Linked DNA regions of Drosophila melanogaster. The protein of the gene in region 1 interacts with the protein of each later gene in a biochemical or structural test. Each region holds a gene or a part of one and is shown in the gene's direction. Other genes may lie near its edges.

Region 1 (9,843 bases):
ACATATTGAGGGTTGCAATAGCATTACGTAAAATCATAGGTAAGTGTATTCAATTCCAAATTCATACCACATTATTAACCTCTGACACCCAAAATACTATAAGAAGTGAGAGTATCCCTCCCCATTACAATAATCAATGACGTTGTTTTCCACCCATAAAATGTCAATATTAAGAACCCTCAAGATTTGTAAGGGAGATATACAAATCCATCTCAATTATTAAGTGAGGAAGTAGCATACCCTAGGCGGTTGCAAGGGAGGGACACAAATCCCATAGGTAGGCATCGATGTCAGAGGTCGATTAGTTTCCTAATAGAAACAGAGTTTATAAAAGTTAACTCGAAAGTGAAATTTACTCAATGGAATTCTAATACACCATACTTGCATGCGAAACCCAAGATTCCGAAACCAAAAGCACTTAATATTAGCTAATTAAAAATGGGTTTAGAAAGATACGCCAGACATTATAAGTTCCTATTAACTAAATTCAAAGAAAACTTTTGTATCCTATGATTACTTTAACAATCTTATTAGGATGAGCCACACATTGAACAAACCACATTTACCATAAGACAAGATATTTGAAAAGTGCACATCAATTAACCGGTGAAAAATTACTAATTACCAATTAGGGGGTTGCAGGAAGTTAACTATGTGCATCCCATAGGTAGACATTCCGGCACAAGGCCCACCTCACCTCAGCCTGGGCATTGAGTACTCAACCTCGGCCACGAGTGTGGCACGCGGGGCACACTTTCTGCGCCCGTTTGACCCACGTCCCCCTGCCAACCACCCAAAAACCCGAGATCAGACAGCCCAAACGATGGAACGATCGAACAACCAAGGCGACCCGGCACGAAGCCAATATGCCACATCCACTAATTGTGTCCAATAAACACTCGTCGACGGGGCACTGTGGGAACGGAAAGAGGAGATCTCAGAGTTCGCAGTTCGGAGGTCGGAGCAGGAGTAGGGGCTTATACAATCATCGTCTGCTGGCATTGATGAAACAATAAGCGAGTAGATGGCACGGCAGGATAACAATGCCAGAGCGGCCCACGCACAAGCAGTTCGGATCCCCTGCCCCTGCTCATCATGCTTCGATCCCATGTACCCATATATGAACGTTCCCATTCCAAACACGACAGGATGAGGCAGTGAAGTATGCATTAAGGATAATAACACCGGCCCAGAAAGCAATGCGAGCAGCCAAAAACAGCGACAGCTGCAAAAATGTGCCCTGATCCTTATACTCGAAAAAAAATGAGAAGCGGAGCGGAGCGAAGCATGTGGCCAAAAGGGAAAACAAACGAGAAAAAATTGTGTGAGAAACTTACTTTCAGCTCGGTTCCCACGCCACGAGCCACAAGGATTGTCCTCCGTCCTACGAAGTTGCAGCTGTTCCTTGTGAAAAAGACAACAACACCGGCGTTTAGCCGTGCGAGCGAAAGAGAGGGCAGGAAAGGTGCGTATCAGAGGGTGGATTTCAGGGACCAGGGAGCGGTATAAAAGGACGGGACCTCGCAGAGCAGAATATCACTCACGATTACGCCGTCGAGCAGGCAGCAACAAGCCGAATACAAAATTTTTCAAAAATTTTTAAAACTACGTAACCTACTACCAAAACAAAAATGGAATACACCACCAAGACCCAGATCTACCAGAAGGTGAAGAAGCCAATGCTGGAGCGCCAGCGACGTGCCCGCATGAACAAGTGCCTGGACAACCTGAAAACACTTGTCGCCGAGCTACGAGGTGATGATGGCATCCTGCGCATGGACAAGGCCGAGATGCTCGAGTCAGCGGTGATCTTCATGCGCCAGCAAAAGACACCAAAGAAGGTGGCTCAGGAAGAACAATCCCTCCCCCTGGACAGCTTTAAGAATGGCTACATGAATGCCGTCAACGAGGTGTCACGTGTCATGGCCTCCACACCTGGCATGAGCGTCGACCTGGGCAAATCGGTGATGACTCACCTGGGACGCGTCTACAAGAACTTGCAGCAATTCCACGAAGCACAGTCCGCCGCCGACTTCATCCAGAACTCGATGGACTGCTCCTCAATGGACAAGGCTCCGCTCAGCCCCGCCTCCTCCGGATATCACAGCGACTGCGACAGCCCCGCCCCCTCGCCACAGCCCATGCAGCAGCCCTTGTGGCGCCCCTGGTAAAAACAAGGGGTTAAGTGGCAGGAAGGTAAGGGTGGAGTGGCAATGGGAATGGAAGAACCAACCAACAACGCATCTGTGATAGCCCAACTGTGATGGCAACAAAATAGCAAAATTAAAAAAGCAATTAGCAAAACAAATATAAACCAATTTAAACAAATATCAAAACAATTTACTTTATTGGGATGTTGGGAGGGGATCTAAGGGACCAATCCCTTAGTTGGTGGCAATTGGAATCCTTATTGGTAATTAAATTATTACCAATTAGGAAATATCAAATAATATATCTCTGCTCTGACAATGGAAATCTATTTTGGCAATGACCGAAGTGAAATCTATTTTATAATAATAAATATTTATTTATAAATATAAATAAATTATATTTATTTATTTATATCTATTTAATAATAAATTAAATATATTTCACTTAATTAAAATAAAAGTGTTTTAGAAAACTAGCACTGATAATTTTAAGTTTTTTGAATCGGTAATGTCCTTAACGGTTCACAAGATTGAAAATAGCAAATCAGACTGAATAATAATAAACTGAATAATTATTTATTCATTTTTAAAAAGCGCGCCAACTGCACCTGAAGAACATGTACAGATCTAAGTTACGTATTTATTGCGGAACTTTTTTCACTTTTTTTTCAAGATCATGGCAAAAAATGAGTGTTAGCATGGAATCTATTTAATTAGTTGTTCTGCAACCGTAGTGTTTGTAAATAAATAATTTAATACGTAATAGTTCTTTGAACATTAGGATTATTATTTCGCAGAGTGTAACTAGTTCGATTTCAGCGCAGGCACTTCCTAACACTGGCGCATGCAACACTGCGCCGCTGAAGCGAGTGGCCCGCGATAACAGACCCTCGACACATCGATAGGCGATAGCGCAAATTGCATACCTGAGACCGACGCGGTCTGTGTGTCGCGGATAGGAAAATAGGAAATTATAAATAGAAACGGGCCGTGCCGATGCCCCAAAAGCCACCCAATTGCCAGCTGCCCCAATCGGCGAGGATACCAAGTGCTACCGAGGTGAAAATCGGCGTGCCGAAATTGTTGCAAAAATATTTGAGACGAGAACGCCATTTACAAGCCGCGTTTGTACAGCGAGTGCGCGTGTAGTAGAGCCGGAGAGAGAGCCGCTGCGTGTGTGTGTGCCTGTGAGAGAGCGAGAGAGCGCCGCCGCCAAAGCTGCCCAACACATACACGAATGTTAGACACTTCGCGGTCGGTCGGCAGAAACAGGCAATTTTATACGGGCGAAAAGTTACAAAAAATAATTTTCCCACTTTTCGGTGGCGAAAACGAAGAAACTGTAAAAAATGGACCAGAGATTTAAGTGCAAAACATAGAAACATCTTGCGATAAAGCGTGCTAATCCGGGGCATAAAACTGGTACTGCCATTATCTCGCTTTTTTAATTGCTTTTGTTTATTTTTTGTATAGGACACAGTATAATTTTTCTTTTGCGCTGCGCGCGTGTGAGTGAGTGTGTGTGTGTGATTTGGCCACTCGCTGGTTTCTATGTATGTGCCCGTATCGCCGAACAGAGTTGCCGCCTCCAGGGCAAATCATAAAAAATATATTGGCTGTACAATTGAAAAATATTGAAAAGGGCCAAGCAAGTGAATTATATGCGGATAAGCGGAAAAATAACAAACAATAAACATCAAAGTAATGTGCAAACTGTGTTTCTGCTGCTGTGCGCGTTTCAAACGGCATGGCAACCCTGTTTAATTGCAGTCTGTCTGTATATGTTCGCATGTTGTTTGTGCGGAGTGTGCTGCCTTTACGAAAGAAAAGTGTTTTATTTTCATTGGATTAATCCCGCCCGGTTAACTGCACAATCGGATTAGTGCGTCCAGCGGCCCCCGAAAATCAAACAGTGATTTTGCGTAACAATTTCATGGGCCACATGCAACTGTGCGCTTGATTTTTCGGCGGTAAACACTCACACTCGTACCCTCGCTCCCGTTTCCTGTGCTAGTGTGCGTGTGTCTCGCTGGCTCAGCGCGCCTGTGTGTGTGCGTGTATGTACGTGCGTGCGAACGTATCGAAAAAAATGGTGCAAAAATATGAAAAAGCATAACTAAGCAAATATGTTGTTGTAAAATTCCATTCGCAGGATATGCAAAATGCGAAGTAGCCCGGACATGGAGTGCCACTAAGTGCCGGTTCCGTTTGTGGGAATACTAATAAAGCGGATCAACTGCCATCGAAAAATATTATTAAAAAAAAAAACAGAAGAAAAAGAATAGCTAAAAAACAAGTACCATAAAACGCTGGCAAACAGATAGATATTAGTCCACGTTTTGCAAGGAGTTTCTGTGCAGGAGTGGAGTGCTCAGGGATAACCGGAAGGAAGGAAGCGGCGTACGCAGCAGGAGGAGCAGCAGGACTTCCGCTCCGGCAAATCGGTGTCCACCTCGGAACTATCGCTCTTGCTCTAGCCGGCAACATACCAGCCTAACAACATGTATCCCTCACCGGTGCGCCACCCCGCCGCCGGGGTAAGTTCACCCGACAGTGGGTCCCACCTCTGACCCCCGAATCCGTGCTAATTGTGTTTATGTCTCTTTCCACCACGCCGCGCCATGTGCCGCCCACGTACGGAACACCAACCACCTCTATTCACATCTAAATAGGGACCACCACCTCAGGGTCCAATCAAGTTCACCATCGCCGATACACTGGAACGCATCAAGGAGGAGTTCAACTTCCTGCAGGCGCAGTACCACAGGCAAGTATCCGGTGGAATACTCTATACACGGCAATGTTTACATATGTAAACATTACGCGAATCATATTTACAAGGGATATACAAGGTTTATCATTATAATTGTGAATACAAGGCAAATCTTTACTATAAAGATTTGCAAGGAAATATTTGCCATCATAATGACACTCTCTGCAAATGTCATCTTTGTAATTGCTATGTCAAGAAAAAACTACATTGAATATTGGCCCTAAGAACTATTGGCCCACTAAAATTGCTATGATCGCAAATTTATGTCAGATAAAAGTAAAATTCTTCACACTTTCAAATAATCCAATGGCATAGTTTTCATGGGTTAAGCAATACGCAATTAGAGATTAGGCCCCAATAATTAAGTTGAGGTTAAACCTATTAGAAGCCTTTACAATAACATGCCCCAAAGAAATCACATTTTAAGCCTTAGCCTTAACCGCCATCGTATGGAAGTGTGCGAGTGTGAGTGTGGATGGATGCTGCGTCTGCGTTTTGCGAAAAGTAAAACAAAAAGCTGAGCAAACCGGTTTGGCGCGCCATATGCGCCGCTGTCATAGGATTAACCTGCGCCGCCCCAGCCGCAACTCAATGCTCCATGCTCCACAATCGCCGCTTCCTTGCGTTCTTGAATTCAGTTCGCTTCCGTCGTCCAACTAATTTGCCCGTTGATCACTTTTCCTGTGAATTCCAGCATTAAATTGGAGTGCGAGAAGCTGTCGAACGAGAAGACGGAGATGCAGCGCCATTATGTTATGGTAAGTCGTCATGATCCGCAAATTATCGAGATCCCTTAGCTAATGCCACGGCTTGCCTTCCAACTTTCAGTACTACGAGATGTCCTATGGCCTTAACGTGGAGATGCACAAGCAGACCGAGATCGCCAAGCGGCTGAACACACTGATCAACCAGCTACTTCCATTCCTTCAGGCCGACCACCAGCAGCAAGTGCTGCAGGCGGTGGAGCGGGCGAAGCAGGTGACCATGCAGGAGCTCAACCTGATCATTGGGGTAAGTCGATCGAGGACGGATGATGGATTCTGCGGCAGCAGCAATACGGTTTCAGCCATTCTCAGATAGACACTAATGGGGGCATGGCCGATTGGAAATTCGGTTGCCACACCGAAAAGGCAGAGAAATTTAGTTTGCCGGGTACTTTGTAATACAGTCTTTCAAAGAATAACAAATATCTTGAAAATTGTATAAAAAATAAGAAATCTAACGTATATATGAAACAGTACATATCATAAATGTGGCAACCGTTAAGTGGGAACTTCGTTTCGGTTTAGTTTGTTCCTTGGGCCGCATTTGATTTGAGTTTGTTTTTCTACTTCCTAATTTGTTATGATTTCGCATTCGACCAATCCAATCCAAACAACGTTGTGCAGCATCAGCAGCAACATGGAATTCAGCAACTTTTAGTAAGTTTGTTTCGTTGCAAGTTAATTTCTTATTGTTTGTTTACTGTTGCCGTCTGCCGCTGCATCCGCCGAATGTGCCACTGCCACAACTACAACAACAGCTCCAGTGCCTCACTACCTCCTCTTCCTTTTCTGATTGTCAACGTTTATATTATTTGAATAACGCTTCAAATGCCGCCAATTGTTGTTGCTGTTTCCATTAACCCCAGATGGTCTTTGCTTATGCTTATGAATCGAAAGATAAATAAATTAAATTTTGATACAAAATAAAAATATGGCAAATACCATTTAGTGTTAATGTCGTTGTTGTGTTTACACACATATGTACACACATTTCAATGCTTTCATATTCCCACTAAGCACGATGTTCATTATTCCGAAAGCCAGCAACGCGCACGCCCGATTTCATACGATCTCATGGTTCCATTGCAGCAACAGATCCACGCCCAGCAGGTGCCAGGTGGACCACCTCAGCCGATGGGCGCACTGAATCCGTTTGGCGCCCTGGGCGCCACCATGGGCCTGCCACACGGACCGCAAGGTCTGCTGAACAAACCGCCCGAACACCACAGGCCGGACATCAAGCCGACGGGTCTAGAGGGGCCAGCAGCCGCCGAGGAGCGATTGGTGAGTACCACGCCCTAGATCAAAATTCTGCATATTTCAAGCTAATTTTCATGCTGATCTTGCAGCGCAATTCGGTTTCGCCGGCCGATCGTGAGAAGTATCGCACACGCTCGCCGCTGGACATCGAGAACGACTCGAAGCGTCGAAAAGATGAGAAACTGCAAGTGAGTATCGAGCTTTTTTCAGTGTTAGCATTATACACTTGTAGTATCATAGATCATCGCGTTGATGGTGATTGCCATAACCGATTACTGTCATCTCATCTGAGCTGTTGCTGTCTCTCAACTCACCAGAAACTCAATTCCGTAGTTTACCCATTGTTGTTGTCTAATTCTGCTAACACTCTACCCCAAAATCATGCTAAACAAAACCTAAATTGCTAATTTTTAAGAGACAAAAAAAACATCACGATCTAATGGTGCCTGTTCCGGTTTTCAATTTCTAGTAGTTGGTTTAAGGTGTATCTCAACTTATAGAATTTTGTTTCTAATATTCCACAAATTGTAAAGCTAATGTGTAAATGTAAATTGGAGATGATTTATAATTATGACTGGTTTACTTTGTTTTAGATTATAAATTTTAATAGTAGTGTGGAACATGTGTAAACTATATACATTTTCTATGCTTTTAACTAGTTTTATTTCTTTGATTTTATTGTCTTACTTAAAAAAGGAACACTAATCGTAACTTCATGGTTTGTTTGCGTTTTTAAATTGTTAACCATGTAAAATGATGTGAAAACCAGAACAGGGCCTAAAATTTAGATACTAACTATTTCTATTGTGGTTGTTGTTATTGCTGTTGTTCGTTGTGGGTTTTTGTATGAATTTTGATTTATATTGTTTTTGTGTTTTTTTCAAAATTATTTCCAGGAGGATGAAGGCGAGAAAAGCGATCAAGATTTAGTCGTAGATGTTGCAAATGAAATGGTGAGTTGAGTGTCGGCCCAGATTCAATGCAACCACTCCCAAATTTCCCCAAAAAAAAAAAGAAACAAAAACCACACCTTTGCTATTACATTTATCATCAAATGCAAAAACAGTACTTAATGCATACATGTGCCTTGCAGGAATCCCACTCACCGCGTCCCAACGGCGAGCACGTGTCTATGGAGGTGCGCGATCGGGAAAGCTTGAATGGCGAGCGCCTGGAGAAGCCAAGCAGTAGTGGCATCAAGCAGGAACGGCCGCCCTCACGCTCCGGCTCCAGTTCGTCACGTTCCACACCCAGCCTCAAGACAAAAGATGTGAGCCAAATGTCAAATGTCGAACCCAGAAAGTGTTAGAGCTAATTGAATCTCGTTCATTTAGATGGAAAAGCCGGGTACACCGGGCGCCAAGGCACGCACACCGACACCGAACGCCGCTGCTCCGGCGCCAGGCGTTAATCCTAAACAAATGATGCCGCAGGGACCACCGCCAGCCGGATATCCGGGTGCACCGTATCAAAGGCCGGCCGATCCCTACCAGCGTCCACCGTCAGATCCAGCCTATGGACGACCGCCACCAATGCCGTACGATCCGCACGCCCATGTGCGAACCAATGGCATTCCACATCCCTCGGCCCTAACGGGTGGAAAGCCGTAAGTCATTTATGTCAATTTACGGTCCGAAAAGTAGACTATAGGAATTTTGTCGTGCATTGTTATTAAGTATTTAAAGTAATTCAATGCAACTGATTAAAATGCAAAGTGCAATGTAGTCGATTGGAGATGATAAATGTATGAATCGGCACAGATAGGAGTATATAATATCGCTATTTCTACGAACGTTAAACGTCTTATCACTAATTAAATGGTTACATTAATTAATAAACACATTTTGCCGTTGCAGTGCATACTCTTTCCATATGAACGGCGAGGGTAGTCTACAACCGGTGCCGTTCCCGCCGGACGCGTTGGTGGGTGTTGGAATTCCGCGGCACGCCCGTCAGATCAACACGCTGTCGCATGGAGAGGTCGTCTGTGCGGTAACCATCTCTAATCCCACAAAGTACGTGTACACGGGCGGCAAGGGCTGCGTCAAGGTATGGGACATCTCGCAACCGGGCAACAAGAATCCAGTTAGCCAGCTGGATTGTCTGCAGCGCGACAACTACATCCGCTCGGTGAAGCTGCTGCCCGACGGCCGTACGCTGATCGTGGGTGGTGAGGCGTCCAACCTGTCTATCTGGGATCTGGCCAGTCCGACGCCTCGCATAAAGGCGGAACTAACATCGGCGGCGCCCGCCTGCTACGCTCTGGCCATTAGCCCTGACTCGAAGGTGTGCTTCTCGTGCTGCAGCGACGGCAATATCGCTGTGTGGGACCTGCACAACGAGATCCTGGTGCGCCAGTTCCAGGGCCATACCGACGGCGCTTCATGCATCGACATCAGTCCGGATGGCTCCAGGCTGTGGACGGGCGGCTTAGACAACACGGTGCGCTCCTGGGATCTGCGCGAGGGTCGCCAGCTGCAACAGCACGACTTCAGCTCTCAAATATTCTCGCTCGGCTACTGTCCCACAGGTATGATGACGACTTCCTTACGAGATATAATCATCTAGAAATAACATAATTTGTATTATCCATTAGGCGACTGGCTGGCTGTGGGTATGGAGAACTCGCATGTGGAGGTGCTGCACGCATCGAAACCGGACAAGTATCAACTGCATCTGCACGAGAGCTGCGTTCTGTCGCTGCGCTTTGCCGCCTGCGGCAAATGGTTCGTTTCCACCGGCAAAGACAACCTGCTTAACGCATGGCGAACACCTTACGGTGCCAGCATATTCCAGGTAAGCACACATCCTTATCATATTAAAGGAAATCCTCAATTAAAATACTGGACGTTTTTCAGTCGAAGGAAACATCATCCGTACTTAGCTGCGACATATC
Region 2 (6,894 bases), on another chromosome or scaffold:
TACAGTTTTTTTTTTATTATATTATGCTATACATTTTATTTGCCTTCTGAAAACAACTCATCCTAAGCAAGTTACTTTTATACTTTAAGATAAGGCCTTAAAATATAATTTGAGTGAAGCTCTTTCCATCGTTGTTACCTTTGTCTGAAAATGCTTTAAGCAATAAATGTAAATCAAGAGCGAAGTGACATAAATCGGATCATAGTCTTTTAGTTGATTTCGTATTTCATTTACTTACGACATTTACGACATTTTTAAGATTCTGGGCTCAACTACCCAAAATTTTCACTTCTATATTATATTCACTTCTAAAAATGTAATCTTACCTATTTTATTTAAAAAATATTGTTCACACCCAAAGATGAAAAACATTGTAACATTCTCATTTTCGACATACGCTTGCATAGTTTCAATGTGTAGTTCTTAAAATACTACTTAGAATGTTCGATTCCAACTTGATCGAAACGTTAAATCTAAAGTGTGTGTGCATGTCTCTCCTACTAAATCTTAACTTTAATCATCTCGCTTTTATTTCATTCAACTGCTTAAGCTTACTTTTTAAAAAATACGCAAGTTTCGTAGGAAAAGATCGACTACAGTTTTTAAAAAGGTCAAGCTACGGAATATTCTATATGTGCTGATAAAGGTTGTTTTTACTGTTTTTTGGCACGGTTTCTTTACCTAGTTTGTATACAATTTTGAAATTATTAAATATTATTAATATTAATTTTTTAAAAACATCCATAACGGTTTTAAACCTCTGTCGTCAGCCTTTTTTAAACTTTGAGTACATAACACATATTTGTAAAATTTGTTGAGATATATTTTCTGAAAATGTAACATTTGTTTGTATCCTTGCAAAAATTATATCCTAAATATAAAATATATATAAATATATATGTTAATTTCAACAAAAAGTGTAACTATTATGATTTCGAAACCTAACATTTCTAGGTTTGTTAGTTCCCGGAACTACTCTGCTAGTGATCAGGAACATGTATTCTATATATATATACTAAATATATATATAGTAAATATATATATATAGTAAATATATATATACTAAATATATATGTACTAAATATATATATATATATACTAAATATATCTATTCTAAATGTATATATATACTAAATATATATACTAAGAGAATATATATCGTAAAGGCTTCCATCTAGCTGTTGCATACTTCTATTTTAATTGTTGTTTACTATAAAAGCTAGTAGGTTGATATTCACCGTACAGATCCTAGAGACCAAGACGCAGCGCCACATTGTTGACTCATGTTGCCACGCCCACAAGCCGCACAAAACTTCCACGCCCACACTTTTGAAAAACGTGTTGATATTTTTTTTATTTTATTTAGATTTATTAGTCTTGTAAATTTCTATCGATTTTCAATTTTTGTCACGCTCACTTTAACGCTCTAAAGCCGCCGAACCAGTCACTCCCACGCCTTGGAACAATTTTAAAATTTTTTTTCATTTTACTCCTCAATATCTATTGACATCCCAGAAAAATTATGAAATTTCACATTCACACTAGCTGAGTAACGGGTACCTGATAGTCGGGGAACTCGATTATAGCATTCTCTCTTGCTTTTTTCTTAGGTCGAGTCACTGGACTTTAGAGGCCTTTTTTAAAATGCATGGATTTAAAATGTATTAAAGTAGGTTTTTTATTTGTCTAAAAAACTTCTTTGTGAAAAGCGAAAAATATTTATATATATATATACAAATATATTTTTTGTTGACAACCGAAAATAAACTTTCTTCGAAGACATATTAATACTAACGAACATAATTATGAGCAAGTAAACAGTTGAATTGGCCAATTAAGATTAGTGATAAGAAGTTTTACACATCTTTAATTTAGAATCAACCGATTTTTTCAACCGTTTTCAGTGAATAAATAAATTTCTAATATATATCCTCGAAAAATGTAATTTTCAAGTACTAATTTATAAAAAATATTTTGATAATATTTTTTAAATCAAAATGTTAAATTATTTGCTTTAAGTTAAGGTGGTCTAGAAAATTTAAATTTAACTCAAGCTTAATATAATATTGTTTAGTTTACTGTATTCCGTTGTTGAAGCCCATACATATATATATAAATATATATATTCGTAGATATGATTTGAAATTACATGGCGCCATCTATATCTGAAGGCACTTGAGTTTTGCACGTGTTATGTTGCCAGGTAAAATCCAAAAAATTTAACATACATACACAAAATATGAATAAAATTAAAAAATGGGTTACTTTTAATCTGGAATTACGTATAGAAAAAATGTAAATTAAAGTCAAATTTGAAAAGAGTCGTACCAACATTGGATGCTATGAATATTTTCATGTAAAATATTTGTAAAAATACATCATTTTGCGATTTTACTTGTAAAAATGTAAATTTACGCAGCAGTAAAATTCACATTACACAGAAGTACATATTTTTAAAATACAGATTAAACAACTTTATTATTTCTTAAGAATGAATTAAGAATGAAAAAAAAAACAAATTTAATAGTATCTATTACTTTTTTTTTACAAATTCGTTACAAACATGTGCTCGATACAAAGTTTGTGCGCAATGTTTCTCACGCAGTTATTTTCGAGCCGATGGCTCGTCCTTGTCTCTCTTGTTCCGCGTCGTACACCTTTATCGTTAAGTTTTATTTTTAAAGACCGAAAGAGAGTAAATCAGACAATTGTTGTGGCAGTATATACAATTTTGCGAAAAATCTATCTAAAGGAATCAATGCCTAAAAATAGTTGAACAATTTCCGGAAAGAACAATTTATGAACACAAATGAAAAAAATAATCTTTATTCGATTTGTCCATTAGAACACAAGTAGAATAATAACACGAAGTGTATGATGAAATCGAGTGTTTACATATAAAGTGTATTTATAAATTAAATATAAGTTTTAAAAATAGGATGTCATCTTTTGTTTCCATAATAATACTAATATAGTGTTGATCGATTTAGTAATATAAATATGTCGGAATAAATGGAGATAGTATATAAACCGATTATTGACCATATTAACAGTGAACTAAATAAGTAAAACAATTGTGGCTTCCTCTAACACAATGTGGAAATTACAATTAACAAACAAATAAAACAAAAAAAAATTACGACCTCATATTGCAACAGTCGAGCAACAGGGTAACGTTAATTAAAATGAGATTTCTATATAATTAAAAAAATGAAAACAACGCATGGATTCTGGATTATAACATAAATATTACGCTATCTAAATCTCATTAATATTGCAAGAAAATTTTATAAACAACGAACCCTGTATGAAATGTTGAAAAGTTGTACAATGGTGCTTGAAAAAGTACTAATTTAATTAAATTTGAGTCATCAAGGTGAACTAAGATTCTAAAGGTTAATAGAAATGTTTAAAATTTTGAAATACAATTTATCCAATAAATAATATAAATAAAATATAAAACAAAAAGTTAACGAATGACTAACACCGAACGGATTTTAACAGCAGGCTCCCACAAAATCCGATAATGCCACACTGTGGAACAACTAATAGTGAAATTAATTTAAACTCAAACGAATTAATCAGTTACCAGAAAAAGAAGAGCAATGAGGATCTACAAAAAAAGCACGATAAAAAATGTTCAATCAATTTGAAAACGAGCCAGGTCCCTGATGGTGGGTTCAATAACCAATATACGCAATTAACTGCCAACAAAATAGAACAATATAACTGCAATGATTTGGATAAAGTTTGTATTGTACCATCAAGTAGATCAGACGGAATGGAGGCATCGTTTTCCGAACTTCTTTTAAGTCCGAATAAATTAATTTCTCAGCCTTGGCAAACCGCTGAAGAAATAGAAAATTGGCAAAATGACAGTTTTCGCCAACGAAATGAAATGTTTTCTTGTATATATACGAATAGTATGCTAAATCAGCAGCCATGCTCGCAGCAGCAGCTTTTGGCCACACAACTTTTATACGCTCGGCTTCTTCGGTCTCAGCTAGCTGAACGGGAATTTCATTCGAATAAATTCAACATGGTTCATTATTCGGGATCTAAAAAGACCATGCTTCGAGAAGATGAGCTTCTGTCAACCCCATCTTCGCAGGATAATAATAACAATATTAAGTTAATTAAAGATATCGAAAACAGCATAAGTTGTGTAGATCCCCCTTTGTTTGAATTTTCTAACGTTCATCAAAGAGCAGAACAAAAAAATAAACAAGACGACAAAAATTGTTACTCACCAAAATTAAAATCGAACAAGGAAGCCCTAGATGGGTACGACTTACAACACACGTGTGATTTTATCAGGGAGCAAAAAAACATTCTTATCGACATTAAAAAAAAACTAGATAATCTCTCAGATAGCTCAGGTAAATTTAGGAAAAGGTTAAGTGTACGTCAAAGTCACATTGAAGTAAATAATGGCTCTAATTCAGCCCTTGAGGAAAGTGTAAGACGACAACTAAATGGAAATCGCAAGTCTATTGAAAACTTACTGGAAGAGGTAAAACGATTATATAATCAATGGAGCAGCGCTGAGCTCTATTATGTTCGCAGCTTACAACGATTAGGACTCCCATCAGAGGAAGATGGTGAATATACATCTACACCAACACATACTATCATGGCATTAGCTGCTATAGCACTGTCTAATGAAAGTATTTTGCCACAGAAAACAAATGCAGTGCACTCTAAGATTCCAGATGTTGAAAGTGAGTCCGATTTTTTTTTGACCTCAGCAAAACCTAAAACGTTGGTCGAAATAGAAGATATAATATTACAACTCGCATCATCTGTTAATATGCATCAATCCAGCTCTGCTAGCACCCCTCATGAATCCTACAGTGATAGTGTTAAAAGCGATTGCGAAGAATCAAATTCAGCACCCACTTGCATATGGCATTCGACAAGGCAAACCTTTCGCCACAAAAAAGACGTAGAGCCTTGTAGCACTGCAGCTGAGATTATTTTAGAATATGCTTCATTGTCTTCATCTTCTAACATTGAAACCTCTCGCTTGCTTACATCTGCATCAAATTTAACAGATGTTACAGAAAATTATAATGTCACAACGCAATTGCCTATTGTGTTTAATTACAATCGAGAAAGTTCAGCTGAGTCAATCGTTACCGATCCTCTACTTGTTCCTGAGTTTTCTACTGCACCTTCAACCCCATCGACTGGTAGTAATAGTGGATGCTCTACTGGAATGGTTTCTGGAATTTTCGGGCTAAGTCAAAACCGAAGAAAACAAAGACTTGCAAGGCACATTGAAACTCTGACTACAAATTCTTTTAAATCGAATGCAATAAGGGGAAATGTTGACAACGAAATCACTAATCAGCTGAAAACGTCGCCATCAATTAGAGCATTGCCAACTGAAAATGTTTCCCATTTAATTACTAAGACATTGTCTTCGGCTAATGCATCTTTAACAGCGCAGGAACTTTCCATAACTAACCTGTTTAAAGAGCGCCTATGCGCTTTACAGGGAAATGCCGGATCAATGAAAACTGAAATTTTTCCAATGATAGATGCCCCATACGACTTAAGTATTGGAAGCAAGACAAAACACATGTAATTTTATTTCGCCTTACTTGGTTAAACCCTTTATTTCTTTGTAAAACTGTTGAAGTCGATGCTCACTCCTAATAGTACCTATTTTCTTTAATGAACTGTTGATTATTGCAAGCAGCCTGTAGTTGTAAATTATACAAAAAATGTTGTAAGTTATAATAAATTGGTTTCGAGTTTTTAAAGTTTTTTTTTTGTTTTATTTAAAACATTTTTTTCTGTTTATGTGGAATGTTCAATGTGTAGTCTTTTGATTTTTCCCGCTCTACAATACTTATACGCTTATATTTGAAAGGTTTTGATAACTGCCAATTTATTTAAAAAGTGATATATATATTTAAATATATGTATATATTTTATATTTTTGTTGCATAGTATTTAACAGTCTGGAGGAAGCGTTTCCAAAGTATATAAGAACCGTCTTGTGCAGGATTGAATCAGAGTCTATATAACCATTTCCGTTTGTCCGTCTTTCTTTCCGTATGAACGTATATATTATCGAGCGGAAAATAAATGGTCTTACTAAATTCAGTGAAGAGCATATTTGTATCAGGATCACGTATGAATGTCGCGAATTTCACTTACTCTAACGACCGAAACCCTTTTAATTTTTTCTCATCCCAGAGTGCAATAAATTTAACCGCCAAGTAGGAGTAGTGGTTAACCTTCAACCTTCCCCGCACTTTTAAGCTGAGTTACGAATAACAGATTGTATTCTGTTCATTAAAAAAAATGCCATTATACAATAGCATATGCAAGCTTTTCCAAACCATTGTTAGAAAGCGATACTTTTCCCTTTATGTTAGCTGAACTACTAAACGAAGATTGTATATTTTTACAAGTGTATACTTCCGCATGTCTTCTCAGCATTCTTGGAAATAAGTGTCAACGTAGTTTTTTCAGAAACAAAGGTATTTAAAGTGAGTGTTGAGTTATCGTGGGTAGTTAAAAGCATGTAAAGATTTAGTAACTTATAACATATACATTTTTGTAAAAAATAAAAGTTTTATACCATGTTTAACGGATTAAAGTAAACCATGTGTTATTAACTACCAAGCAAAGCACTTTTAAAATATTGATTAAAAACGCATTGTTTAGTTTTATAACACAGGGAAGAATGAATTACAATTATCATTTTGTTTTATCTTTTAGGAACCTGGAAGCAAAGCACACATCAAATGCGCAATCAAATGAATCCAAGGAGACAACAAATGATAAAAAAAAACCCCATATTAAGAAGCCACTAAATGCGTTCATGCTCTATATGAAGGAAATGCGTGCTAAGGTTGTTGCTGAATGCACTCTGAAGGA
Region 3 (7,788 bases), on another chromosome or scaffold:
CTTATAAAATACAAGCAAATAATAATACCTATAATATTATACATATGCTATAATGTTATTATCAACGCCTTTACGATTATTAAATAGTTAACCAACATGGTCCAAAATGATTCGAAATACCTTCAAGGGGTTCTTTATCGTACCACCAACGTGTTTGTTTTGTTTTCAGTGATCAGGGCTCCCGGGGCTTATGGGGAATCTGGGGGATCTGGCGCTGTCTAATTTTAGACGCAATTAGCAATGCGCACATTTTTGTGTGCTTGCGCCTTTTCGACTATAAATTTTTGCCACAGTTTATTTTAGAAGCTGCATGTGATCGGGTCCGCCAACAACAACAATGGGGCGTCAAATTGGGCGTTCAACGCACAAACAACTGCGAGTGTATCTGTATCTGTGACTGTATCTTTAGCGTTGTATCCGTGAGATACATCCACACCTTTGGCTGTTTTTGGCCAGCTAGCATGATGTAAAACGCCGCCAACGTTTTCCGACCTCTCGTTTTTTTTTCTTTTTTGTTTATTTTCTTTTTTGCTTTTCGTTGCAATTAAATTGGCATGCACAAGTGCCGCCTCTGCCGCCGACAACGCCTCTGCCGACGCTGACCGCGGGCGGGCCGCCTTTTGATCGGCTGCCAAATTGTAATTGGAACGCGAAGGTGTTGTCGACGTCCGCCACTACCGTCTATATATATATGTATCCATATTGTTGGGGCATGTGTTCTCGGCATAACAACCTTCTCTGGCGACCACAAAACGCACAACACTTTAGACAACCGTCAAAAATGTCAGAAATTCCCCAAACTTTTTGAGTATTTTCACGAATCGATAGATATGCATATTTGTAAGACGTGATTGTTGATTAAGTTCAATTTCATTTAATTATTAAGCAGAAATTAAGTGTAGTAAAATCAAATTAACTTCTAAACGTTTTTTTACTCATCTTCATTAGAGTCAACTTTATTAGTTTCTATAAAAACACTGCCAGGTGGTTTCGCTATAAAAAAAATATTGTAAACACCCGTTTTTAGCCAACTTGAATGTTTAAAGCCTGACTGACTCATTCCAATGTAACTTTGTTGACGATTCGTGGTTTTGGTATAACTTCACTAATCAGTGGTCAGAGTCCAAGTCAGGCTTTAAAAATATTTCCCAAGAACAAACGTCAAAGATAACGTAATTTCCTTTTATAGATCGTGTAACCTAAATATGTGTCATCTACCTTTACTGAGCTCAGCCTGGTTAAACTAATTACATGGTTATTACCATTTCTTAAAACTTAACCCATATTTTGTAAATAATAGATGGCTTAAGCAGTTATTTAAAATATCACTTTCGGTTGTAACGAAATGTGTGTGACGCACTTTGGCTTTTTACTACCAAATAAACAATATAATTTAAGCTTCATTTTCACTGTAATATTCCCAGTTTTCACTGCAATGCCCCTCTTCTCATTCTGCTAATGAATGGTTAGTTTTCTGATGCCCGACTATTCCGCGTGTCGCGTAATTATAGTCAACCTTCGATAAATCATTACTCCAAAACAAAACAACAAATAATATATGAAAAACGTGAAAATCCAACGCTGCACGTAGAAGCCATCAAGCTGAATCTAAGCGTCCGGCGGAGCACGTGTGATCCACGCAGCCTTGTCCACAGCGATTTCCATTTCATTTAGCCCGTTGGCGGCTATCGATCAAAAGCCAAAAGGGCGACCTTCACTTAATTGAGGCGTACGGCATGCTGAATGAGTCGGTTGTACAGACTGGTCTGGAAAATGCTAGGGGGATAACTATAGCCACCACCCACTGCCCGATCGCCCAACCACCCAACCACCCAACCACCCACTTCCGCCTAGCGTGCGCACAACCTTGTGATCTTGTTTACTGTTTAGCGACCCCCGAGCCGCAGATACACAGTACACAGCACAAAAAACCGAACCTGTCGCACTGGGGTGGCGTCATATAGCCAGCTATTTTCACCTTCTATGGGACGTCGTCGCGTTGGCCGCATGAATCAGCAAACCACGAACGGCGAGCCACCAGAAACCACCGCAGAAGCAGCAACAACACCAACACCACCGCGACCATCACCAACAGCACAGCCAGAAACACAGCCTCTTGTGAATCCCTCAGTTAGCAGAGCCCAGCAGAGTCAAGCCAAACCGATCGCTGATCGACCGACCGACCGACGATCACCAATGGGGGTTTCGCAGTGTGATTTCCAAAAAGGAAGAAATGCCCATTCCCGCGAGCCACGGGGGCGTATGAGTAACGCGGTGTGTACTTTAGGTACCGCTCACAAGCGTGAGCACGCACACACACACACACACACTGAAGCGAGCAGGTAGCGCATAATGTATACCCCTAGGTAGCCGCAATGCCAGTGCAATTGTATTGGTGCGGTCGTGTGGCTCGCGCTCGCGTCTCGCAGCGGCGATTTAGCCTACGAACCTGTCGATCAATCGTCAGTCTTCCGCCGAGAGCCCAGCGATAAGGTAGTCCCGCTACGCTCCGCAACATCCAGACGCAGTAAAGCAAATACTTATATATATATATACATACATATATATAGCGCAACCATCCGAAAGCCGAACGATCGATCTTCTGCTTCGTGCCGAGTCGTTTCGGTCTTTTAATCGCACTGCAGCCAGAACCTGCTGCTCATTCGCCTGCCGTATTTCGTAGCGTGCGGTTCTATCGCTCCGCTTTGATAAACCGAATCGAAATCTAGAGAACCCCCCCAGACACAATACCATTTTACGTGCTTCTCTGCGACGCTGCGCGAAAGTGAAACCACCAAGTGAACTTGAAAAAAAAAAAAACTGACAACTTGAGTTATTCTAAAAAAAGCAAAAAAGCAGTGAACTTATATTGCAAAGAGCAGCAAATTCAGATTTGCTGCCAAGTGAAAACCAAACTGTGCCTCAAACTCAACAAACAATATCTGACCGAAATGGTTACCGGCGTAACAGCAGCCAACATGACCAACGTTCTGGGCACCGCCGTTGTGCCGGCCCAGCTCAAGGAGACGCCGCTCAAAAGTGACCGTCGGGTAAGTTTCTTTCGAGAAAAATAAGACTCGAAAAAAAAAATCCAAAGCCAAAAACAAAAAACCCCGTCAATGGATTAAATCAGAACCTCTAGTTCCCCGAAATCTGTGGATTAACTGAAGCGAACCAAACCGAGAATTCCCCTAATTGAGAGCCACCCACTTCGAGCTCAAGTTGATTTCCATTCGCGACTGTGGGCGACTGGCCCCATCAATCCCGCTGCCCAAATGCATTTCCTTTTTAGCCATCTCCCACATGGCTGGCTGGGAATAAAAATACGAAAAAAGAAAAACACTCTGAGCCAGACCAAAAAAAGGCCGCAACTGCCGTCGGCGCGCCAACACAAAGCGAATTTATCTCGCGTCGCGTTGGTGGCATTTACTATATGGCATATGGCATACTACTCCGACTACACACACGCTCCATCCATTCATGAGTGCCGCCCAAAATTGGCTGGCGTAGCTGCCCACCAGCTCCCCAGATTCGGACTCGGATTCGGATTTGGCTGCCACTTGGCGCGTGCGTCGCGTGGTGGCTGCAATTGTCGGTCATCAGCCGCCGTTTTTGGCCATTCGAACGGCACCGGTTCAATGAGTTGGCCAGAAAAAAAAAAACTGACTTCATGCGAGTCCAAATTTGGCAACTTGTGCTCCCTAGATAATAATGTACCTAGTTATGGCATCTTCGAATTTCCCGCTCTGACCTTGTCACATTCTCTTTATTTTTGCTCATACCTGGTTGGTTTATTTATAGCCACTGCCTGTAATTTATAACCGCCAAACTATTTTTAAATAAATGCCTCGGCCGAGTGGCGCTATAAATAGAGCACGCGCCGTGCGACTAAATTTGGCCGCCAGCCAGTCAATCCGCTCCCCAACCTACGCCGCCTCCTCCTTGATCTCCTCCAATCCAATTGAAGACCCATGCAGCTTCCTCTATTTTTGGGTCGTTGCATGAGGTCAAATTAGCCGTGCAAAAGCCGTGACTAATCGATGTTTTTTTTTTCCATTTCTTGCCTCTTGCAGTCGAACAAGCCCATCATGGAGAAACGCCGACGTGCCCGTATTAACAACTGTCTCAATGAACTCAAGACTCTGATTCTGGATGCCACCAAAAAAGACGTAAGTATCTGACAAAAATATAAGTTTAAAGCCACAAATAAAATAAAAAAAACTACATATTTGAAATTATCTCAAATATTTTTTAAAAGTTTAAATCATTGACTAATTTCCAAATTATTTTCTCTCTCTACTTTTAGCCGGCTCGCCACTCCAAATTGGAAAAGGCCGACATTCTGGAGAAGACAGTAAAGCATCTGCAGGAGCTGCAGCGCCAGCAGGCAGCCATGCAGCAGGCCGCCGATCCCAAGATTGTGAACAAATTCAAGGCCGGATTCGCCGACTGTGTGAACGAGGTTAGCCGCTTTCCCGGCATCGAGCCCGCCCAGCGTCGTCGCCTGCTACAGCACCTGAGCAACTGCATCAATGGCGTTAAGACAGAGCTGCACCAGCAGCAGCGCCAGCAGCAACAGCAGTCCATCCACGCCCAGATGCTGCCCTCGCCGCCCAGCTCGCCGGAGCAGGATAGCCAGCAGGGAGCAGCGGCACCCTACCTCTTTGGTATCCAGCAGACGGCCAGCGGTTACTTTCTGCCCAATGGCATGCAGGTGATCCCCACCAAGCTGCCCAACGGTAGCATTGCCCTCGTGTTGCCCCAGAGCCTGCCCCAGCAGCAGCAGCAACAGTTGCTGCAGCACCAACAGCAGCAGCAGCAACTCGCCGTCGCAGCAGCAGCAGCGGCCGCAGCAGCAGCACAACAGCAACCCATGTTGGTCAGCATGCCCCAGCGTACAGCCAGCACCGGATCCGCCAGCTCGCACTCCTCCGCCGGATACGAGTCGGCGCCCGGAAGCAGCAGCAGCTGTAGCTACGCCCCGCCCAGTCCGGCCAACTCTAGCTACGAGCCCATGGACATCAAGCCATCGGTCATCCAGCGCGTGCCAATGGAGCAGCAGCCCCTGTCGCTGGTGATCAAGAAGCAGATCAAGGAGGAGGAGCAGCCCTGGCGGCCCTGGTAGAGGGTGTCTGCATATGCATATCATATAGCATAGCCACCCCTATCGAATCTCCCGCTTTTAAGACTGACCCCCCACAACTCATCCAACTCGCACACATGCGCAGGCGTTGTGCGCATGCGCGTAGACATTTCACATCATTCGCCGGGATTGCGCAAATGTTGCTTTGAAGTGTTGCAAACATGCGAATCCTAAACTCGGTTCACAACTTCGTTGGCTTAGTTTCCTGGCTTATATCCTGGAAACCCGTCGACGAGGCTAAGGACCTTCATCAGACGCACCCACACACAAACACACACACGCAAACGTTGTTATAATTTATTTATTATTATATTATGTAATCGATTTGAGAGAACGGTATTCTACCAGGACATCGCCAAACTACCTCAGTCCAAGTACTTGGTGTTGAATTGCCTCATGTATCATGTATTACTCTTTGAATAACAGCAAATCAGCAAAAGTCTTCCAAACACAGAAAATGAAAATGCGAAAATAAGCACCTGAAAAGCTGAAATACTTTTTATGAAAAAGATAAACGCAAAAGCATAACTCTTACACATAGTCGTACATCTCCATTTAAGTATAGGTTTTGTACCATAGCCAGCTAAGCCGCTTAGGGTTTCTCTCGCTCTTAAGTCTAATCAAAGAATAATTATATTTATAAAACACACAAATCTATTCGTAAGGCCACGTGATATAGTGAACATAATGAGCTTCTAAGAAAACAAAACAAGAATTTGATGCAAGCAAAAGCAAAAAAATCAACAAGAAAGAAAAAACAAACAAACAACACACTAAAAAGAAATAAATTTAAAAGATTCTACTAAAAAATCAAATACGCAAAACGGATTTGTTATTGTGGTTGGGGTATCTTTTCCTGGGTTTTTTTTTCATTCGGGTGAAAGTCCCATTATGGTTCTTTTTTTTGTTTTAGAGGTCAAACGCTTTGAGTGACAGGAAACTTATCGAGCCCCCCGACTTATCGTAGCAAATTTCGACGCTAATTATTATAATGCCAATGGTGAAATTCATTTTGCTGGAGAGGATCGGCGGGGATTTCGACGATAATACAACTACGTTTTAAGGGGCTCGATTATGTCCGTTTCTGCTAATATAATCGGCACGACGAGTTGAAGGTTTTTCTGTGGCCAGACCGTAACGGATATAGATATATGTGCATCATAAACATTATATAGGAATGCCTTGATTTTCACACATCCGTTCGATAGGCCAGTAATTCGAAACAGTTGTGACGAAATAAATACTTATTATAATCCTTTGATCGATAATATTTTAAAATATTTTGCAATTTAATCATTGGTTATTCCAATCGAAGTGATCAGCAAAAGTTAAGGCGCACAAGGGTATATTTTAAAATCAAGGCAGGTTAGCTCTGATTGCAATAAATCCGAAATTCCATTAGCTAACGATTCAGCAAAATACCGAATTTCTTAGGGATATGGAATGTCAAGAAGTTGGCCACTATAGCCGCAGGAAAGTCGATCCGGTTCGCGTTAGTTGGAACTAAATCGGATATCGCCATGGATCATGGATGACCGATAGCTACGGATACATTTGGAAATTCCCTGGAACTAACCACTCGAATCCAGTGATATATACAAGTTTATCAACCATTAGGGAAATCTCTTACCCAGTAGCAACCGAGTCACGCCCTTCAATTCTCATAGTGCCCCCACTCTAATCTAAGCAAATCCCTGGGCCATTAATCGTCATGCTCGTGACAAAAGTTTCCGCGAAGTCTGCGGAAAAAATACCGCATCATGCTGATAATATGAGTGCGATAAAGCGGATAAGTGAATAAAATTGTTTTCCATTTGCTGGTGAATCAAGTGCAGAGAGCCACATTCACTTGCTCATCACGGCGTGCCTGCCACTCCCTTGCTGCAGTGCGTCTGTATCTGGGCCTAGTCTCGTTCGCCGTATGACTGGATCAGTATTCACTCGCTAACTATTCACAAAACTAACTCGTGCAGCCTCAAAGTCCAGGGGAAAATTCTCGTAAAAGCTAAGTAAAGATTGCACACAGTCGTTCAGATGTCGCATGTTCTGGAATCTAAGCAATACACTGGAAATACGCTTCGAGAAAAGTCCGATTGGGTGGTTTGGTGGTTGGGTGGTTGCATGACCAGGCTTTTGCCCCACTGAACCGAAAGTGCACTTGATTAGTCACTATGGGGGACGACCGACTTTCGGCCCATCAATGAGGATTACTCATCGTGGCTCGTCTAGCTCGAAATAGCATCGAAAATTTTGCCAGCATGTCTGCTAATTTACAAAGAAACCCCCTCTATTGACGCCCATTGAGTCATCATCGTTTGCCTTAATTGGCAAAAATCTGGTTTCTTTGGAGGACATATTTTTTAAATTAATCGTTCCCTAATGAAAATAGCCCCATTTGCCTTTGGCTTTTGGGGTTTTCAAAGTAGTTGTTTTAAATGTGTGAATAATGTGTATCAAGGGAGCCTGAATCAGAATGGGATGAACATATGTAGGTAGATTGCGGTTTCAGTAATGAAAATCTTCAGTTTTTAAAATCTTTGTACCTATATTATACCATTTCTTATACCATTTTAAACATTTTCAAGAAACGTTTTTTAAAAACCTTAAGTGCTCCCTATAATTCATGCACGCTACCTAATTTCCAG
Region 4 (6,622 bases), on another chromosome or scaffold:
AAAAGTACCTACAATTCGAAATAACACTTAAAGAGAGGGTGTGATTTTTCGTCGCCTTAGATTTGAACGTATTTTTACGTTTTTGTAGTAAAATACCAATACATGGGTAACGTGAAAAAAAATAAGAAGTCGAAGATAGCGACATTGTTGCAAAAGAAAGACTAGTGCGCAATGCAATTTACGATTATTCGCCTTATCAATGGAAGGCGATCGTTTCTGGCCTACGGTGAGCATAACTGCAACTGCAAGGCCCCGGCATTATCGCAAAACAATTACGCCGGGTACACCTGTCGACGCTGGCGTCAAAGTTACATTGTTGCTGCACGTGTAGACCGTTAAATGCCGAGTCAAATGCGCCTGCGAATGGGATGAACCTCATTCTAGTACTAGTACTATCAATACACTCAATAAGGTTGTGCATACAACGTAACCTGCTAATGCTAATATGTATGTATGTACATATGTATATTTATGTACTTACATTTCACTTTCCTGAGTTGCTCCATTCTTTCTATATTTTCGATGTTTCCCATAACTGCCGGTTTATTCGATTTACTGCCAATGCATTGCATTTTTACGGCCAATTTTTTGAAAGCTTGCAAATTCTTGACAAACTAGATATGGAAACTCGGCAGCCACTTGCTGCCGTTATTTACGCAGTTGTTTTATCTCGCCATGCACACTTTCCATTTACCCGCGAAACAAAAAAAAAGTGCAGAAAATAGTTTAATACTATTACAAAAACAAGCAGCACACGCAAACATAAATTGCGCAAACATCGAAACACAAGAAATATTACTTATTGAAATCGAGAACTTGGACGGACAAAAGCTCGCAAATTGCGGGACCATTTCTTTTTGTCTGTGACGCAGTTGTACCCTGTAAAAGTGGAGCATATCGCTTTTTGCCAACGAATGGCTGTTTGTATGCTTATGGATACTAAAGCGGAATGTTGGAAGGTGAATTTTATTGGGCTGTTTGTGATTTCCATTGACAGAAGAATTAAACAATTTTTTTTTTTTTTTAATATGTCGCTTGTACAAACAATTAATTAAATGTGCAAATTGCAGAGTAGTTGGGCGAGTGTGCAGCGTGCATTTTTTTTTTGCTGGTTCGCCTCGTTGCGAAATCAAAACAAAGCGTGTGAAAGAGAGGGCAGATGCACGCGCCAAAAGCGCTATGTTGTGCACTAAAAGTTGTGGAAATGAAAATCAAAGCGAAACGTAACAAAATCGACGGGGTGTAGAAAGCGGGAGGAACTTTGCGTCGGAACCACCTGATGATTTAATACTCTCTAAAAGGGGCAAAATTCAAAATGCAGGTCCTTTCAAGTCGATTTTTAAAGGTTGATATATGTGTACATATGTACATATTTGTGCGATAAACATATGTACACATGCACAAATCATTATTTGTATGTAGTACACATACTATGTACATTGTATTTTACAAACAGTTATTAAGAAGTTTGTTGGAATGTGCATACATACATATGTATGTATGTATGTAGAGACGTATGCTTGTGCATGTTATATTCTATTTTTCATTCAAGGTCCCCTTGCTTCCTATCCGCCTTTACCTTATTACCCTTTTCTACTTCTTCCACAACTTCTTCTTTCCAAAGTTGTAATATTTTTGGCTGGTTTCTATTCTTTTCCCTTTCTTTTTACATTTCCTTGGCATCGTTTAATTCGTTAACAAAATGTTTGGCTCTTCTTTTGTTTCTACCATGCGGCCTAACTTTTCTATTATTGTTAAATGAATTCTGCATTGTTTACAAAGTTCACAAGTTCAATCAACTTGACAAAACGGAAAATGAAGTTGCGTGGCAGACAAAGAGGTGACAAAGGCACACACGCACATAAAAAAAAGTACGGTAAATGCATGCATAGATAAAGGAAAGGGCAAGAAGGAAATACGAAAGAAATGTAAGGCGCCAAAGCAAGAGGGAATGAACAACTTCTCGCAACTTCTACGCAAAAAGGAATAGAGCTTAAAATAAATCGATTTAAAAATAGGAAACATTTATGCGGCAATGAAGAATCCCAAATAATGCCACAGAAAAGCAATTGAAACCTGTAGTTTTATGTCGATTAACATTAACATAAATAAATGCGTATATTTATAAATTTAATTTCTATATTTTAATATACATACCGTAAGTAAATTAAGGAAATGAATAAAATTTTGTTTTGATTTCCAGTCAACTACACATTTTCGTATTGCATTTATTTCACAAAAACATTTTGAGCCAGTTCAAGTTAATTGTTTATGTTTTTATTTACGGAGCAATTTGCGATTTGTCTCAATTTTGTTTGCGCTCAATTATTGTAAACACCACTCAAAAATCTCACTCTCTTTCACTCAAAAAAAAAATACCGGCAAACTGATGCTGTTATGTGAACCAGTGTGCGGGAGAGGCAAAGAAACATTGATCATTTTAAATGCATTGCGTACTATTTGAAAACCTTCGAGTATTAACAAATCGTGATGAATCCAAATGTGATCTAAATGTGATCCAAATGTCAAAGAAGATTTTTGTTGAAGCTCCTATTCTCACCACTTAAAGCGAATTCCAGCAAAGAGAGCAGCAGTGAGCATGCGCAGTGAGAGCGCAGAGAGCGCGGCAGTCTGGTACGATAGAAATTTTATTTAAGCCACAGACAACATGAAACGGGCACTATTTCTGTGGCGTCGCGTGTTCAGTTCACCGCGGGTAATTCAGAGAATCGCTTTGTGGATTGGATTTTTGCCTGTTTTCCGCCCGATACAAAAAAAAAAAACCAAACGCTATATAAATAGTTCTGTAGTAAAACCTGAAGCAACACGTTTTAAAATATACAACTACTACTAACAACTGTCACAGCCAAGTTACAAAAGTGCTAAATCCCAGAAATAACCTAAGAGCCGACTTAAAACCGCGCAAATACATAAAAAAAAATCTTCTCCAAAGCAGAAACAAAAACTTGTGAAAAACTAGAATTAAAAAAAGATTTTTTAAAAAAAATCAGCTAGTGCAAAATAAACGGGAAGAATTTTTTTTTGTGTCCCTTTTTTTGGTGTTTTTTCTCCGTCTTTCCCCTTCTTTGACGCAAAAAAAAAAGTGCCCAACTTGCTGGCGGCACGGGAACGGGATAGAAATAGATATAGCCGAAAGCGACTGGAAAGCAAAGGAAGCTAACTAAATTGGATTACAATCAATTAAATAGAGACGGATACGGAAACTATGTTCAGCGAGGTGAGTGCAAAGATATATATATATAATATATATTATTTATCGGAACGCAACGACTTCAAAAATCGCGCCACTACGGGGAATTCAAAATAGAATTTCTGGGAAAGGTGAAATAGCTTAACTTTTAACGGTGCTCTCACACACAATGACAAATCAGTGATCATGGCCGCACAAATCGATACGAAATAACGGATTCTAGGAACTCAGAAGGAATGTTAAGAATCAAGTGCTTACAAGAAATTAAGAACAAAAAGTGAGACAATAGAAAAGTGGAAGTGGACGAATTTTGCAAAACAAAATTCTACAAAGTTCTTTATTGTTTTGTGAAATTCTTCTTAATGCTGGCAAGTATTAAAAACGCTTTGATGGCGTTGAAACGAGTTGGTAATGTTCGAAAATTCCAGAACTCTGGGGCTCCAAAGTAATTAAATAAAATGGTCCCAAAATTTTTACGAAAGTATTAAACTTTTTAAAGGAGAAATAAATCAATTAATTAAAAAAAGAAATAAATTAGCTTGATAAATTAAAAAAGAAATAAATTAGCTTGATAAATTAAAAAAGAAATAAATTAGCTTAATAAATTTAAAAAGATTTAAATAATAATTTAATAAATGTTGATATTCCAATTTTACTATGATTCTGAAATTCAATATATACCGGGTTGCGTTCGATTCTGCGAAAGACATGTACTGTTAGTTTTTGCTCGTACTTGTTTACCGGAATGCAACGGATTCTACGAAAAGGGAAAAGCACAGTAAGCTTTGCAGGTCTGCGTTTATCGGTAAAAGGACCGTTTATTTTTCAGTAACTGGAATTGGGTATTTGATATTTGGTTTTCCTTTTATGCCCTTGTTTATTTCATTAGTATATGTATTTTTTTTTTTTTTTTGCTATTGTCAAGAGCGCCAAGATTGACGATTTCGGGTTCAAATGGTTAATAGTGTATAAATGAAGCTATAAGCTAAATTTGCTTTTGATAACATTTGCTGAACCCTCGACATCGCCTGACGTCATTATAGGTGAAATCTGGCACAGTAGAACGTGACTTAATACAATAATAATATTAGGAGTTTAGTTACTCTTACATTATAGTTGAAATGTTGCAAAAATCCTTATGTTGAAGAAGTTTTCAAAAAGTGTGTTGCCGACATATTTATTTAATTAAGTTCAAATATAGAATCATACCTACAACGATTTCCGCCTTATCTATATTTTTCAGACAGGCATATAACTCAGGAACTTAAGATATATAGAAAGAAAAAAAAACCCAGACAACATAATCGCAATGGCCCTTTACCGCTCTGATCCGTATTCCATAATGGACGACCAACTTTTTTCAAATATTTCAATATTCGATATGGATAATGATCTGTACGATATGGACAAACTCCTTTCGTCGTCCACCATTCAGAGTGATCTCGAGAAGATCGAGGACATGGAAAGTGTATTTCAAGACTATGACTTAGAGGAGGATATGAAGCCAGAGATCCGCAACATCGACTGCATGTGGCCGGCGATGTCCAGCTGTTTGACCAGCGGTAACGGTAATGGAATAGAGAGCGGAAACAGTGCAGCCTCGTCGTACAGCGAAACCGGTGCCGTATCCCTGGCGATGGTTTCCGGCTCTACGAATCTCTACAGCGCGTATCAACGATCGCAGACGACAGATAACACCCAGTCAAATCAACAGCATGTCGTCAACAGTGCCGAGAACATGCCGGTGATCATCAAGAAGGAGCTCGCAGATCTGGACTACACGGTCTGTCAGAAGCGCCTCCGTTTGAGCGGCGGTGACAAGAAGTCACAGATCCAGGACGAGGTCCATTTAATACCGCCCGGCGGAAGTTTGCTCCGCAAGCGGAACAACCAGGACATTATCCGCAAATCGGGCGAATTGAGCGGCAGCGATAGCATAAAATACCAGAGACCAGACACACCTCACAGTCTTACCGACGAGGTGGCCGCCTCAGAGTTTAGACATAACGTCGACTTGCGTGCCTGCGTGATGGGCAGCAATAATATCTCGCTGACCGGCAATGATAGCGATGTCAACTACATTAAGCAAATCAGCAGGGAGCTTCAGAATACCGGCAAGGATCCGTTGCCGGTGCGTTACATCCCGCCGATCAACGATGTCCTCGATGTGCTCAACCAGCATTCCAATTCGACGGGTGGCCAACAGCAGTTGAACCAACAGCAACTGGACGAGCAACAACAGGCCATCGATATAGCCACTGGACGCAACACAGTGGATTCTCCGCCGACGACCGGCTCTGATAGTGACTCCGATGACGGTGAACCCCTCAACTTTGACCTGCGCCATCATCGCACTAGCAAAAGCGGCAGCAATGCCAGCATCACCACCAACAACAACAACAGCAACAACAAAAACAACAAATTGAAGAACAACAGCAACGGCATGCTGCACATGATGCACATCACCGATCACAGCTACACGCGCTGCAACGATATGGTGGACGATGGTCCCAATTTGGAGACCCCCTCAGATTCCGGTGAGTCAAATTTATATACTTTTCATATGCCCCATTTTCATCAATATTGGAAGCTTAAAGTCCGAATGTCTTACAAGAAATACAAAATGGTCTGGTCGTTGGATGCATGGCAAAACAGTAGAGATTAGTTAGATCCCTGGGGATGCATTAAAATTTAGTTTACGCCTGAGTCAGTCTAAAACGCCTACCAAAAGTGGCATACTAATTACAACGTCGTGGGGCGGCCGATTAGTTTACAACCGGCCACATGACCCCCCGCCCGCCCGCACATTCATCCATCCTTTGGGTGTTGCACATTCAACTAGTGTTCGCACTTCCGTTTCGTGTGGGTGCAGAGTAACGCCCAAACGCACAAGTACGCTGTATACCATAGGCAACCGGAAAATCGATTGGCGGAAAACGCCTACGTCAACAGCAAACGTAGTAAACTTGTTACGTTGCACAAAAAAAAAAAAACAATAAAAAAGAGAAGAAAAAACCCGCCCACGCGACGCCGGCGTCTGTCTGCGGTGGTTTTCCATTTCCCCCATTGATTTTTGTGCTTTTCGCTGCGATGTGCTTGTATGCTCAATGCTCTGAGCTCTTGCTCTGGACTTTCCTTTATGATTTTTCCCACTTGCCACCCACAATGGGGAAAATGTTGGCGCGGCGCGTGGCTTTCATGGCTCATTGTGTTTATTTGCTCCATGGCGTCATCCTCTCTCTTCCGAAAAACTTATCACCCGGGGGATGATGATGATGTTCTTGCGCAGAACTACGCCCAGAATAAAAAGAACCCATATATATATATATACTACATATATAATATATATATTTACATATATATATGTACTACAATTTCTCTCTTTTGGGCCAACACCCCAATTTACTTGGC

The links.
Region 2: the proteins of gro (region 1) and pan form a complex in vitro, tested with the Drosophila melanogaster proteins (one study listed by BioGRID).
Region 3: the proteins of gro (region 1) and hry form a complex in vitro, tested with the Drosophila melanogaster proteins (2 studies listed by BioGRID).
Region 4: the proteins of gro (region 1) and Myc form a complex in vitro, tested with the Drosophila melanogaster proteins (one study listed by BioGRID).

The regions. Positions count from the first base shown.
Region 1 is NT_033777.3:26,038,693-26,048,535, forward strand, and holds the start of gro (groucho), read left to right. Parts: upstream 1-3,043; 5' UTR 3,044-3,209; intron 3,210-3,387; exon of another isoform or gene 3,388-3,572; intron 3,573-3,948; exon of another isoform or gene 3,949-4,120; intron 4,121-4,127; exon of another isoform or gene 4,128-4,211; intron 4,212-4,302; 5' UTR 4,303-4,651; coding exon 4,652-4,687; intron 4,688-4,822; coding exon 4,823-4,917; intron 4,918-5,617; coding exon 5,618-5,681; intron 5,682-5,751; coding exon 5,752-5,934; intron 5,935-6,311; coding exon 6,312-6,344; intron 6,345-6,776; coding exon 6,777-6,971; intron 6,972-7,036; coding exon 7,037-7,135; intron 7,136-7,843; coding exon 7,844-7,900; intron 7,901-8,040; coding exon 8,041-8,217; intron 8,218-8,281; coding exon 8,282-8,553; intron 8,554-8,803; coding exon 8,804-9,477; intron 9,478-9,543; coding exon 9,544-9,743; intron 9,744-9,805; coding exon 9,806-9,843. Other genes in the region: E(spl)m8-HLH (enhancer of split m8, helix-loop-helix), read left to right, coding at 1,632-2,171. UniProt on the Drosophila melanogaster protein: Transcriptional corepressor that regulates transcription when recruited to specific target DNA by hairy-related bHLH proteins. Maternally required for neurogenesis; in the segregation of the neuroectoderm. Directly or indirectly interacts with Notch and Delta.
Region 2 is NC_004353.4:87,688-94,581, forward strand, and holds the start of pan (pangolin), read left to right. Parts: upstream 1-2,667; 5' UTR 2,668-3,526; coding exon 3,527-5,586; intron 5,587-6,735; coding exon 6,736-6,894. UniProt on the Drosophila melanogaster protein: Segment polarity protein. Functions together with arm to transduce the Wingless (Wg) signal in embryos and in developing adult tissues.
Region 3 is NT_037436.4:8,673,299-8,681,086, forward strand, and holds hry (hairy), read left to right. Parts: upstream 1-2,460; 5' UTR 2,461-2,951; coding exon 2,952-3,050; intron 3,051-4,073; coding exon 4,074-4,169; intron 4,170-4,306; coding exon 4,307-5,125; 3' UTR 5,126-5,955; downstream 5,956-7,788. UniProt on the Drosophila melanogaster protein: Pair-rule protein that regulates embryonic segmentation and adult bristle patterning. Transcriptional repressor of genes that require a bHLH protein for their transcription (e.g. ftz).
Region 4 is NC_004354.4:3,370,486-3,377,107, forward strand, and holds the start of Myc (Myc), read left to right. Parts: upstream 1-2,673; 5' UTR 2,674-3,238; intron 3,239-4,454; exon of another isoform or gene 4,455-4,458; 5' UTR 4,459-4,520; coding exon 4,521-5,748; intron 5,749-6,622. UniProt on the Drosophila melanogaster protein: Participates in the regulation of gene transcription. Binds DNA in a non-specific manner, yet also specifically recognizes the core sequence CAC[GA]TG. Seems to activate the transcription of growth-related genes; required for cellular proliferation and growth.